Linked DNA regions of Caenorhabditis elegans. The protein of the gene in region 2 purifies or fractionates together with the protein of the main gene of each other region. This does not show direct contact. Each region holds a gene or a part of one and is shown on either strand. Other genes may lie near its edges.

Evidence for each region. The genes of interacting proteins can lie anywhere in the genome.
Region 1: the proteins of T19B10.2 (region 2) and K08D12.3 fractionate together in Caenorhabditis elegans (co-fractionation; one large-scale study listed by BioGRID). This does not show direct contact.

What each region holds. Positions count from the first base shown.
Region 1 is NC_003282.8:1,706,575-1,712,999, reverse strand, and holds K08D12.3 (CCHC-type domain-containing protein), read right to left. Parts: upstream 2,736-6,425; 5' UTR 2,734-2,735; coding exon 2,634-2,733; coding exon of another isoform or gene 2,605-2,633; intron 2,435-2,604; coding exon 2,079-2,434; 3' UTR 1,873-2,078; downstream 1-1,872. Other genes in the region: rpi-2 (Protein XRP2), read right to left, coding at 24-288, 1,300-1,411, 1,600-1,721; pbs-1 (Proteasome subunit beta), read left to right, coding at 3,258-3,335, 3,381-3,580, 3,646-4,096; pugs-4 (C6 domain-containing protein), read right to left, coding at 4,466-4,585, 5,381-5,489, 5,546-5,703.
Region 2 is NC_003283.11:11,218,160-11,225,292, forward strand, and holds T19B10.2 (DUF19 domain-containing protein), read left to right. Parts: upstream 1-3,142; 5' UTR 3,143-3,145; coding exon 3,146-3,181; intron 3,182-3,248; coding exon 3,249-3,379; intron 3,380-3,426; coding exon 3,427-3,753; intron 3,754-3,832; coding exon 3,833-4,112; intron 4,113-4,221; coding exon 4,222-4,554; 3' UTR 4,555-4,666; downstream 4,667-7,133. Other genes in the region: cyp-29A2 (Cytochrome P450), read left to right, coding at 1-292, 343-1,033, 1,349-1,689; bgal-1 (Beta-galactosidase), read right to left, coding at 4,817-5,242, 5,294-5,512, 5,655-5,814, 5,859-6,324, 6,367-6,566, 6,610-6,700, 6,749-6,834, 6,890-7,093.

The sequences.
Region 1 (6,425 bases), on a different chromosome or scaffold from region 2:
ATACCTACAAGGAGCCCACTCACCTTTAAGCTCCGGGTACCGCATTGCCAAATGGAAGAAGTGAATGTCGCTTGAGTTCTCCACAATTGGCTCAGTTGGGCACAGAATGCTTATGCGAATGCTCGTGCAATCACGTGTTCTCAACTGCTGACACGAGGTGAAAATTGTGCAATTCGCGCAATCACGCACGAAAACGCTGCCCGCCGCTGGGCCGAGCACGATGGTGCAATGGCGGCAATCGTCGATAATCACTTGAGATGTTTGGTAGAGGTACAGGATTGTTGAGTCCTGGAATTGAAGGGTTTTTTTTTCTGCATTCACGTGGTCCCAGGCTGTCCCATTACTCTTGATCTACTTGATCTACAAAAAATGCGGGAATTTTTTTCCCAAAAAAATTGGGACGTCAACACGCTCTTAACCATGCGCGAAATCAGATGAGATGTCTGCGTCTCACCTCGCGCATTTTTCGAAGATCAAACCGAAATGGGACTTTCTGACTACACGTGTGCATTAAAAAATGTCTCTAAAAAAATTCCAAAAAAAAATGCTTTACAATGTTGAAAAGGTCCCGAAAGTTTGCGGACTTTCAGATAAATTGCATTTTTATAATGAAAATTTTGCGAAAACATGTTTCTAAAAAATATTGTTAAGAAATTTTGAAAAAAATCAGCGGATATTTAAATTTTCAAAGAAAGTTTTTCAAATTTATTACCCAGACGTTAAAATTTGCGATTTTTGCGCCGAAAATACGGTATTCGGTCTCCACACGGTAATTTTCGGTTAAATACAAACGGGTGTCCGCCTTTAAAGAGTACTGTATTTTAAAAATTTTGTTGCTGCGGAATTTTTATCGATTTTCCATAATCTATTAAAAATTTAGAGTTTTTTTTTAATATTTTAGTTTTTAAAAAGTAAATAAACATATTTTTATATGATAGAAAAACGATGAAAAATTAATAAGAACCCCGGAATAACAAAAGTTTGAAATTACAGTATGTATGCAGTACTCTTTAAAGGCACACACGTTTTTGTGTTTTAAAAAAATTGCCGTGTCGAGAACGGGTACCGTATTTTCACATCAAAAATCGGAAAATTTAGTATACGGGAGATTGATAAAATCTTATTGAAAATTAAATGTTTTAAAAAATGCGGAAGGGAATTTCAAATTCCGCTCTTTTCTTTAACGATATTTTTATTTTTCGGAAATTGCTGAGACTCCTTTTCCACTTTAAATTATTGTATCAGTTTATAAAAGAAATTATCGGGTCTCGCCACGATACGTGCGCCTTTAAACCGTACCGTGCAATTCTCCATTTGAAGTGGTCCACCATCTTTCGACTCCTTTTTCAGAGTCGTGTTATGGATATTCGCAATTGTAAAGTCTTCGGCATTAACTTTTTCTCGACGATCCCTTAAAAATTAATTTTTCGGGTCCCGCAGCGATGCGCCTTTAATCTTTTTTTGAATTCCAGACCTAAATATCTAAAGAAACGAAACCTAGAAACCTCAGAGAGGCGCTATCAAAATGATTGCAACAGGTCTTGCAGCGAAATCGAATTTTTTTAAAAAATTCACTGCGAGACCACAAATTCCACTTACCACGAATACTTTGGAGGTTCACCTCCCTCTTCCGGTTTCGGCACCGCATCCTCGCTGACCTTGTAGCGATCCTCACGTTTAGACCGGCGCCCAAAAAGCTTTTTCGAAAAACAACAGCTCATTGTTCGAGGCTCCCGCAGAATATGCGAAAGTGAGTGAATGAGCAGCGCGAGTTGCTCGGCGAGAGCGCGCGTTGCTATGGAAACCCATGTGAGAGCATCACGTCGCCTTCACTTCCGATGCGAAAGAGGAGGAGCGCAAGACGACGACTTTAATCAACAATTTATTACCACTTTCGTTCAAGAGGTTCAGAGGTTGGGATGGGGGATAATAGCTGCAACCAGCATTCACATATAATATTTGAGATGCGGGGAAGAGGATTATTGGAAAAAGGAGTGAACGAAAGTTTCAGTTGAATACATTATTTCGAGTTACAGAACAATGAAAAGACAACGAAAATGGGGGGAATGATGATTGATTTAGTTGGTCTGGCTTGGGCAGTCGCGGGAGATGTGTCCGGTCTCCTGGCACTGGTAGCAACGCTTCTCCTCGGCCGAGCCACTCTCGGTGCACTCGCGGGAAATGTGCCCGGAGCGTCCGCAATTGTAGCACTTTTGTCCGCCGAAGCTTCTGCCTTCTCCACCGCGGCCTCCGTAGCCACCGCTTCCTCCCTCAGATCTGGCGGATGGGCAGTCACGAGAGTAGTGTCCACGTCCTCCGCAGTTGTAGCACGATCCACCGCCGCCGCCACCTCCACGTTGTCCTCCTCCGGATCCTCCCTTGGGGCAATCGCGAGAGAAGTGTCCAGTCTCTTGGCAGTTGTAGCAGGTGGATCCTGAAATAACATGAAATTAGTCTCGAGATTTCCGCTGTAAATTTATCATCAAATAACTCCTAATCTCCGCCAGCTTAAACACATTTCTCTTCGCCTCCACTTCTCCAGAACTTCAAAAATTATTGCAATTCGGTAAGAAATCAAGAGATAATGTATTTACCTAAATCAACTCAACACCCCAAATTCAACACCACTCCACCTCCTCCACCTCCTCTACGTCCACCATCGGACTCGCCATTCGGGCAGTTGCGGGAGATATGTCCCGGCTGTTGGCACTTGTAGCAATTTCTGTCCGACATTACTGCAAATAATTGATTTTAGAAAAAAGAAATTATCAGTTGCGAGGAATTACAAAAAAATAAACGGTTGAATGTCACAATTTCAATCAAAAATGGCGAAAATTCAGAGAAACAAAAATCCAAGACAGTGAGGGCGAGAAATCATGGATATTCAGTGACTAACATGACAAAAACTAATAAATACATGGAAAACTAGTTATAAAAACCAGTTTTAACGGGAAAAAAGTCGGCGAAATCAGAAAAAATCAAAGAAAATGTGGCCAGAACGTGTCGATCGTCCCAAAATCGAATGTTGGCCGCGTGCCAGGAAAGTTAGATGTGCAGGCAGTCCGGTGGAGCGCCAATTCAAACGTCATTTTTGCTGCATTGAGATTTGATGACAATGTTTTTTCTGCTCGGGTTTCTCGTTTTTAATGATTTTATTCTGAAAAATAACTACTAAATTTGTTTTTATACATTATTATTGATTTCTTAACGTTAAAATAACTTTTAAAAAATGAATTTAAGTCGATATTTTGCAGATAATGGATACTATGCGAGATGAGAAGCGCAAAGCCATTCCGGCAATCGGGTTCTATCCACAGGAAGAAATCAGCACTGGAGTGAGATTTTTAAATTGAAATTTCCACTAAAAGCTCAATTTTCAGACCACTCTCATCGCTATGGAGTACAACGGTGGAGTTGTCGTCGGAACCGACTCGAGAACCAGCGCCGGCTCGTTCATCACCTCCCGTGCCACCAACAAAATCACCCCGATCACCGATAATATGGTTGTGTGCCGTTCTGGATCTGCAGCGGACACTCAAGCGATCGCCGATATTGCCAAGTACCATATTGATGTTTATACGTAAGGAATTTTCAGTTGTTTTAAAATTAAATAAAATAATTTTTTTAAATAATCACTTTTTTCAGCATGACAGAGAACAAGCCAGTGACAATCTACCGCTCGAGCCAGATTTTCCGCCAATTCCTCTACAACTACCGCGAGCAGCTCTCCGCCTCAGTGCTCGTCGCCGGCTGGGATGAGGAGCTCGGCGGCCAGGTCTACGCAATCCCAATCGGAGGATTCGTGTCCCGCCAGCGATCGACAGCTTCCGGCTCCGGTTCCACATTCGTGCAGGGCTTCCTCGACAGTCAATGGAGACCAAACTTGACGCTCGAGGAGTGCAAGGCGATCGTGAAGCAAGCCGTCGGACTCGCCACCTTCCGTGACGGATCCTCCGGCGGAGTTGTCCGTCTCGCCGTGATCAACAAAGCCGGCTCACAGTTCGAGCTGTTCCGTCCCGACAAACCAGGATTCCCATTCGTGCAGACACCAACTCCACATCTCTCTTTCCCACCGCACATCGAACAAGTCCTCTAAAATCGTTTCGTTTTTCGATCTTCTATTGTATTTTCCCCTGTGCGACTATACTGCTAAGTTATTTGATTTCCCTCAATATTTATGAAAATTCACACTTGTCATCATTTTCGTTTCAATGCTGCTGCTGCTACCGCTGCTATGTCAAAAGTGCAGTAATTGGTTAGCCAAGCTACGCAATTGACCGGTATTCTCCTCCGGGAAACTGGTCACGTGGAACGTCAAGCGATTTATTAGAGTTAATTTAACAGAAAGAGTTCATAAATTGCGAAAATATACACGTGGCAGGTTATGGAAAGACGAAAATATTGCAATGGGCGAGTATCTCTAGGGAGGAGAATATTCAAAAAAAAAATTGGGGGAAATTAGAAATTAAAATCTGCAATCGACGAACTGCAAAATTCTGCCAAGGATCGTCCACGTGTACTGGGAGCCGCCAACGTTTGTGCAAGTGGCGAGCAGAGACGGAGCCGCTGAGATTGAAGCTCTTTGCTGAAAAATTAAGAAAAATAAAAATAATTGTTCCTTGTGGTTTCTTAGTTTTCACAGCTGAAAAGATACGGAAAGTCTGCGGATTTTCAGCGAAAATTGTAATTTTTTCTAAAATTCTAAAAAAATCCCCGAAATTTCGAAAATCAGAGGAAATTTAAGAAAAAAAAAATCGATTTTGGAGCCAAAAATGCGTTACCCGGTCTTGACACGATTATTTTCCGTTAAATACAAACGGGTGTGCGCCTTTAAAGGGTACTGTAGTTTCAAATTTTTGTTTCTGCGCGATTTTCATCGATTTTTCATAGTTTTTCGTACTTTTTACTTTACATTTGTAATTTTTTAAAAATGAAATACTATTTTGAATCGAAAAATAACAAAAAATCGTTGAAAATTCCGCTGCACCAAAAGTATGAATCTACAGTACTCTTTAAAGGCGCACACCTTTTTGCATTTAAGGAACATGTGTCGCGTCGAGACCAAATTACCAAGAAATTCGATTAAAAATCCGATTTTTCGCTGATAATTTGAAAAATTTTCTGGATTTTTTAAAGCAGAAAATTGCATTAAAATTTTTGGTTAAATTTCTCAATCTTTTCTATGAAATAAAAAAAATGCACAAAATTCAAGAACATTAAATTTTTATCTGAATTTCGCAAGTCTTCCCGGAATTTGGGCCTGGAAAAATTATATTTTCAGGACAAAAAAACTAAATAATTCATATTCTTGACCACTATACGAATTATTTTTTGCTCTTTTTGTCTTCCGAAACTCCAATGGCAACGGAACTGGACTCACCTGGTCGTATCCTTCAACTGTGGCCGCTTGGCCGCCCGTCGTACACGTTATCGCCACAGTTGCTCCCTGAGCATGAGTGTTGCCGAATGAAACATCACTATAGTCGAATCTAAAGCTTCAGCACTTAGAAGAAAAATCAATAAAAATCAATAATATTGATGATACCTGTATTGATCGGTTTGATCAACGGCCGAAACGGGATAGAGTATGAGGTCGGAGCACCGGGCTCCGACTTGCGACGGGTCATTCGACTGTACGAATCCCGGCGGAGCACACGAGAGAACCATACCGGCGGTCAGGAAAAAGAGCAACACGTGCGTCATTCTGGAAGGACGAAAAATCAATAATTGATTGAAATTTTAAAAGAACGAGATTTTTTAGAAATTTGCAATTTAGCCAAAAATCGCAAGAAAAATTGGAGAAAAAGTGGATTTTCCACTTTCCAGCATTTTTTCTGAAAAAAAATCAGAAATTTCAAAATATTGGCTAATATTTTACACTGAGAGCAGAAAGCTCAAAAATTAGGTGGAACAGCCAAGTGACCTAGAAAAACACAGAGTATTCCCACTTTTTTAAACAACAAAAAACTCGGCCACGAAGCAAGCTCGAAAAAATAGCTTTTAAGTTGGTGGCCTAGAAATACCGAAAATTCGGCCAATCATCTGAAACATTTATTTTTCTTTAAAAAAAGTTTTTTATTTGGTGGCCGAGAAAAGGAAACGCTCGGCCACGTTGAAAAATGTGCAATTGTCTTCTGAAAAATCGATTTTAGGTTTGGTGGCCGAGAAAATACAAAAACTCGGCCACGTTACGAAAATTTTGTTTTTCTCTTTGAAAAAGTAGTAAACTCTGCCACACTTCAAAAAGAGTTTTGTTATCGAAGATTACGCTTTTTGCTTGGTGGCCGAGAAAATGCAAAAACTCGGCCACATAGAAAACGCTCCGTAAAAAACGATGACACGTGGCAAATTGATTAAACAAAAAACCAAAAAAATTATTTTTGAAAAAAGAGACAGTCTAAACAGCTCGAATTAAGGTAACAACA
Region 2 (7,133 bases):
CATTAACTGGGCGGCCGAACAACGAGATCAGGGACATTCAGTTATGAGAGTCATGATTCTGGGAAAAGTTTACGCATGGCCATTGAATGGAAAAGCAGCTGCTGCAATTATTGATTCAACAACTGAAACAAATAAAGGAGATGACTATAGATTTTTTGATCCATGGCTTGGTGGCGGACTACTTTTAGAGGGATATGGTGAACGATGGAAAAGTCACAGAAAAATGTTAACTCCAGCATTTCATTTTGCCAAGTTGGGTGGTTACTTTGAAGTTTTCAATAATGAATCCAAGGTTTGAAACGATTAATTCAATTATATATCATTTCAGTGATTAATTTTCAGATTCTTATTGATCTTTTGAGTGATTTCTCTGCTTCTGGAGAAACTGTCGATATCTTCCCGTATGTCAAGCGTTGCGCTTTGGATATCATTTCTGAGACTGCAATGGGAATTAAAATTGATGCTCAAATAAATCATGATCATAAGTATGTGCAAGCTGTAGAAGGATATAACAAAATTGGAGTTTTAGTTTCATTTAATCCTCACCTGAAGAATCAATTCATTTTTTGGGCAACTGGGTATAAAGCTCAATATGATGATTATTTAAGTACTCTAAAAAGTATGACGGAAAAAGTTATCAAAGAACGAAGAGCTGCTCATGATTCCGGAGAAGTTGAAAAGGAGACATCCAAGAGAATGATGAACTTTTTGGATTTAATGTTGAGTATGGAGGAGTCGAATCAATTAACTTCTGAAGATATTCGTCAAGAAGTTGATACATTTATGTTTGCTGGTCACGATACAACAACATCTTCTACTTCATGGGCTTGTTGGAATTTAGCTCATAATCCGAATGTTCAAGAAAAAGTGTACAAAGAGATGATTGAGGTGTTTGGAGATGATCCAAATACAGATATTACACTGGAAAATGTGAATAATCTGAACTATTTGGATATAGTTCTCAAGGAATCAAAACGAATTATCGCACCAGTTCCTGCACTTCAAAGAAAATTAACAAATGATTTAGAAATTGGTAAGTTAAATTCTAAATGATGTGGTTTTTAAACCAAAAATATCTTGTTAAAATCTTAAAGTATTACAAACAGTTTTATATTAACTTTCTGCTGACTTACATATGTCTGAAAAAAACAGAACATCAATCCGCGTAAGTTCAGTAGAAAATGTGAATTAACGGCACTTCAGTTAAATTATCAATTACTATTGTCAACATTCAAGTACTCCCCAATTTCAGAAAAGTTTCTGCATAAAAAATCTCTGAAATTAAGGAAAATAATAAACTATCAAAAACCAAATGTTAGAATAAATGATTTAATTTGATTATTTTCAGATGGATACATAGTTCCCGCTGGTGGCAATGTGACAATATCTCCAATGGTTCTTCACAGCAATCATCACGTGTTCAAAAATCCAACAGAATTCAATCCTGACAGATTTCTTCCGGATGAAGTTTCAAAGAGACATCCGTATGATTTTATGCCTTTCTTGGCTGGTCCTCGTAATTGTATTGGCCAAAAGTTTGCGCAACTAAATGAGAAAGTAATGATTTCTCATATTGTTCGAAACTTCAAAATTGAACCAACTCTGAAATATAATGACACAAAACCATGTCTGGAAGTGGTAACAAAACCATCGAATGGGATTCCAGTTCGATTAATTCGCAGAAACTAGAGCATCGTTCAGTTACCTGTATATTTTCACATTTTTAAATAAACGATTTTACCTAAAAACCAATTACTTGTCTCTCAACAATCATTGCCCATTCCATCATTGTCATCATTATCGTGTCCCTTTAAACAAGTAGCAATTATGACCGTTGTCGTTTCGTTTTACTGGACGGCCGCAATCGTCCGCGCGGTGAAAAAGAGGAGAATACCGGCTCGTTTGTTACCAGACAACGGACTATAAAATGGATAAGACACGTTTTTATTTTTGCCAGTGTTCATAGAATTCATTTATTGTTCATGCAGTTATTTAGAAAAATAACGTTGTTGTTTTTTGTTTAGAAAAATAACGTTGTTGGTACGTAATTTTCAGTGGTTTTATACTGGGTGGTGATGGAAAGATCAACCTAACACCACACCAAAACCAAAAAGTAGACTGCGCCTAGGTAGGCATAAAGATATGCCTGTCTACTATGGAAGTTTGAAATCAAAATCTTTAACTCTATTTTTTCTGAATACAACATTATTTTTGTTTCAAAGAGAGGCTCCGAGTTTTTTTCTTTAGAAATTTCAGAAGCGTTTGAAATTATCCTTAATCACAAAAAAAAAATAAAGTTAATGTAAATGACACATTCCAATTCAAATTTTTGTGTATTTTATAAAAAATTGTTTTAAAAATTAATTAGAATTCTCTCACTGTTCGTCGAACAAACTTCTTCCAAAAATATACAACACATGGACTGTGTAGTCTAATCTTATCAATTCTTGTGTATTCTTGAAACATGCAGATAAGATTGGTTTATATGTTTGTGGCTTTGGGTTTTGGATTTCTTTTATTTTTAGTTGGCATTGTCAGTTACACCCATGTTTATTCGCTTTTTTCTTTTGCAATGCAAAATGTTCGGTTTATATCAATCGAAATTAATTTGATTTTGAATTTGTATAGCCTATAAACAAATTGAAAATCGTACATTGTAGCTTCTGTTGTTTAACAAAATTGAGAACATGAACAAGATTAGTCATACCTATTCAGTTGTTGTGTGTTTGATGTGATATCACTCTTAATCACTCTTCTTCTATCATCGCTTTTAGTGCCTCTGAATAGAGTGAATCCGGTTCTTTCAGACACACCTCAGTCTTTAAATGCCGATGGTTCAGGGTGCATTTTCACCTCTTCTTGCCTTCATTTCTTTTTCAATTCTTTCCATGCAGATCCGATTTAATGTTTTCGTGTATCTCACAGTGTCGCAGGTCGCAGTATCTATGTATATCTACGGGTATCATCATCTCGTCAACCGATAACCCCATTTTGAATAAGAGAATCAAGGATCTCTTTTCGATTATCGGTGGTCTCATTTTCAATGTTTGCCCTCCATTCTGTGGCGTCTCTTATTCTTCTTCTTACTCTATTTTCTTTTTTTTTAAATTTAACTTACATTTTCAAAATATCAATTTTTCAGGAGATGCTAGTCCTCACCATTGTTATTTCCTCCATTGCGGTAAGTTTTGTGTCGGCACTAATTGAACTGATGATTGGAAACTGTTCACTGCAATATTAAAGTTCAGGTAGCCATGGCTCAGGACTGCTCCACACCTGCAGCCACCCGTGCGTCCTTTGGATCTTACCTGCAGTGTATCAAGGAAGGGCTCGACGCTGACTACGGTAATTATGAAAACGAAATCCGTGAGCACTCCAAGTATGTTTCAACTAATATGAAGCTTTCAATATTATCTGATACTTAAGAAAAGCTGCCGCGACTTGCTTTGCTTCCACCATCGAGGAGGGAAATCAGAAGGATCGTTGCGTGTTGGCTGCTAACGATTTGTCTCATAACGCTTGGGACAAGAACGGACCACTGAGAGAATGCTCTATCTGCAGAACCTTTGCTGCCGGAGCCATCAAGGCTATCAAGGCAACCCCAGCTGAAGATCAAAAATGTATCAGAACTGAAGTTTCAAAGGCTATCGCTCGTGAGGCCAACTATTGCCTCCAAAAGAAAATCGCTAACTTCGCTGGAGTTCCAGACATTCCAGATCTCGAGGAAGGATCATTCCAATACAAAGACTCGGTGTAAGTGTTCCATATCATCCGCTAACATCATAACCACTGATAAATCAATTTTAATTCACTAAAACAATCATCTCTTCAGCATCTCCTCTATCTCTGACCATATCCTTATCCAGTCTCGTCTCTCTTTCTGCGGAGAACGCAAGCCACAACGTGCCGCATCTACCCGTAACTGTCTTGCCAGTCCATTTGTTGGATATTTGAGCGGACACTGCAAGGTTCTCGCCAATTGTGATGCTAAGTTTGTTGGACAATGCGGACAAACCATTCCAGCCACACGCAAGGCCACTTGCGAATGCATCACTGAAGCCAGAGACGATTTGAAGAAGCGTATTGGATCCATCGCCAATGTCTTCAATGATGTAAGAGGATTGAGTTGAACTAGAGAATTTGTATATTTCCCAGTATATTTTAAGCACAAATGGAAACGTTTTGGTTGCTTATTTAAAACCAGAAAATATTTTGTTTCAGCTTCTCTCCGGAGGACGTGGGCTTGCCATCGGATCTGCCAACAAGGTCGATATTTGTACATCTCAAATCAAGAAACAAATGATCACTCCAGTCAACGATTGGGTCAATGTTATTGATACTGCTCTTTCCTCATGCATCCGTAACAAGCCAGCTGGACAGAATCTCGCAATGGAGGCTCTTCTCAATGTTGGATGCCGTAAAGTTATTGCTGATACAACTGGAGCTGCTACCACTCAACTCAAGACAGGATTCGACTTTGTCAACAATCTTATTGATGCAATGGTTCAGCGTAGTGGACGCTTCTGTGGTGGAAGTCATTGCCTTCAGGGATAGATTGATTCGATTAATTATAATTGTATTACCTTCTTTTAATTTAAAAACTTATTTATTAATTTTTGAACGTGTATCAGTTTCTCTTGTATTGTTGAATAAATAATAAGAGTTTCTTTAAAGATGAACTATTTCTGTGAGAAATTTCAAAATTTCGAGATGTATATTATATAGCTAGGATTTGTGAAAATTTTGATGCATCGAAATTATTGAGAAGAATATATTTTGATGGTAAAGAAATTAATGGCAAGAAGTTTTAACCAAATCATTGAAAATCAAAAACAGGATGATCAATAAAGTCAGCAATGCACGATGATGTACTTGTACAAGCTTCCTCAGCTCCTTCTAGCTCAACCATCATCACTGAATTTTCTCCAATTTTCAAGAATTCTGCTGGAATGTACAAAGTCATTTGTGGACCTTTAGTTGGCCAATATCTTCCAAAATTTCTTCCATTCACAATTGCAATTCCTTTTCCCCATCCAGTAGTGTCAAGCCATGTATCAGTTGGGGCATCCACACTAAGAATTCCAATGAAAACTCCCTGTTTTTGATTACTTTTAACATTCTTCCGGTAATTGTTTCTCATTGCTTTTCTGAAGTAGAAGTCTTCTTGAAGAGGAAGCTTGATTCCACATTGAGTCCAAAATTGAATCGCCTGTCCATTCATAAAAACATCCGAAAGAATTCCCTAAAATTCAGACATATAATCCGCAAAACAAAAAAAAATGATCAGCTCTACCTTTCTATCATTAATTGTTTCGAATGTTTTTCTTCCTTGATTTTCGACCAACATAAAAAGCCGATTCTCTTCATTCTCCAGGCAACCTTCAATGATCACTGAGTTTCTGGTCAGGTTGTAATATCTTCGCGTGAGAGTGTCAATGTACTTTCCATTGAGATAAACATGAACAAAATCTCCAAATGAGGGAATTGTCAAGTTTCCACATGAGTTAATTTTCTGTAAACTATGATTTAAAGATACTACTTTATAGCATTTTAAGCATTTTGAAAAAAACCGCTTATACTTTGATCACTTTTTGTCGATAAAAAATTTAGCCAATAAAAATTTAAACCCAAAAATAAATTTCTAACAAACTCACTGCCTGATAAGCTACCAATCCTAATGGATGCTTCAATGTCTCAAAACTGATTGGTTTATCAGTTTCAACACAATCTCCGGGATCTCCCAATGAAGTTAGTGTTTTCAATTTTTCAACGGAATGCACTAGTCTCATCTTGATTTTTCCAAATCTTCCTTTTCTGTAACTTGGAAATATTTTTAAACCGTTTTCTATAAAACTTACGGTGAATTTCCTGGAACATCCAATGGTGGAGTTGGCCAATCAGTCAATCCTTTGATCCATTTTCTTATTTCCAAATATTTGGTTGTTACATCTCCAGATTCACTAATCGGAGCATCATAATCGTAAGAAGTAATGCAAGGAGCCTCAGTTTCTGCACCATTCCAAAATCCAAAATTGGTGCCTCCGTGAATCATATAATAATTGAAACTGGCACCAAGAGAATACATAGTTTGTGATCCATTGATTATTGTTTGTGGAGACGGTAAATTTTGCTTCTTTTGTCCCCAAAGTACCAACCATCCAGGATAATATTCCGAATTTACTAGAGGGCCATTCGGTGCAAATTTTCTTTGTAATTTAAAATTGTTTTCGATTTCTTTAGCATCATCAGTTGGACCAAAGTCTACAGTTGGAAATACTCCTTCCACTGTTCCACATTTTAGCAGAGACTCGGCAGAACCATCAGCTGAATAAATTGAATAATTAGATAAAGTGTTCATTTACTCACTTGTGAATAATAGAACATCATCCCCAACGAGTGATCTTGTAAGATCTCGCAAGAATCGAAGATATTGTTGATCGCATGCATCGTAACTACCGTACTCATTTTCAATTTGAAGCATCAGGACAGGTCCACCGTTTTTACGTAAAAGTGGCTTGACTCTTGGAAGAAGAATTTCAAACCAATTCTCGACTTCGCGGGTAAACCTTAAATTATGTGATTGAACATTTTTGTTTAATTTTAACTAACACTCGATCACTACTTCTTTGCTTTGTCACATTTTTGTTGAGAAGCCACCATGGAAGCCCTCCATTTTCCAATTCTCCACAAATATACGGTCCTAAATTTATTTGTTTTTATTTGAAACTGTGAAGGACTTTCAACATACCGACTCTCAAAATTGTCCATAATCCATATTTATGAAAAGCCATCATGGAAAACTCTGCGAAATCGAGAAGTCCAGAAAAGTCATGACTGCAATTATAAATAGTATACGTTGATTGTTTAAATCTTTTGAAAATGTTCTTACTTTCCTTCTTCAAGCTCGTGCATATTCCATGGAATATAATACTGAATTGCATTAAATCCAAGAGCTCGAACTTTCCCGAGACGTTCGTCCCACCGATCACGAGGAATTCGGAAATAATGAATGGATCCAGAGATGTAACGAAATGGAAGACCATCGAGTAGAAATTGGTTCTTTGATTCGTCAATAAGAAATGAAGGTATATTTCTTAAAATTTGGAATATTACAGATAATGTTAGAAGAAATG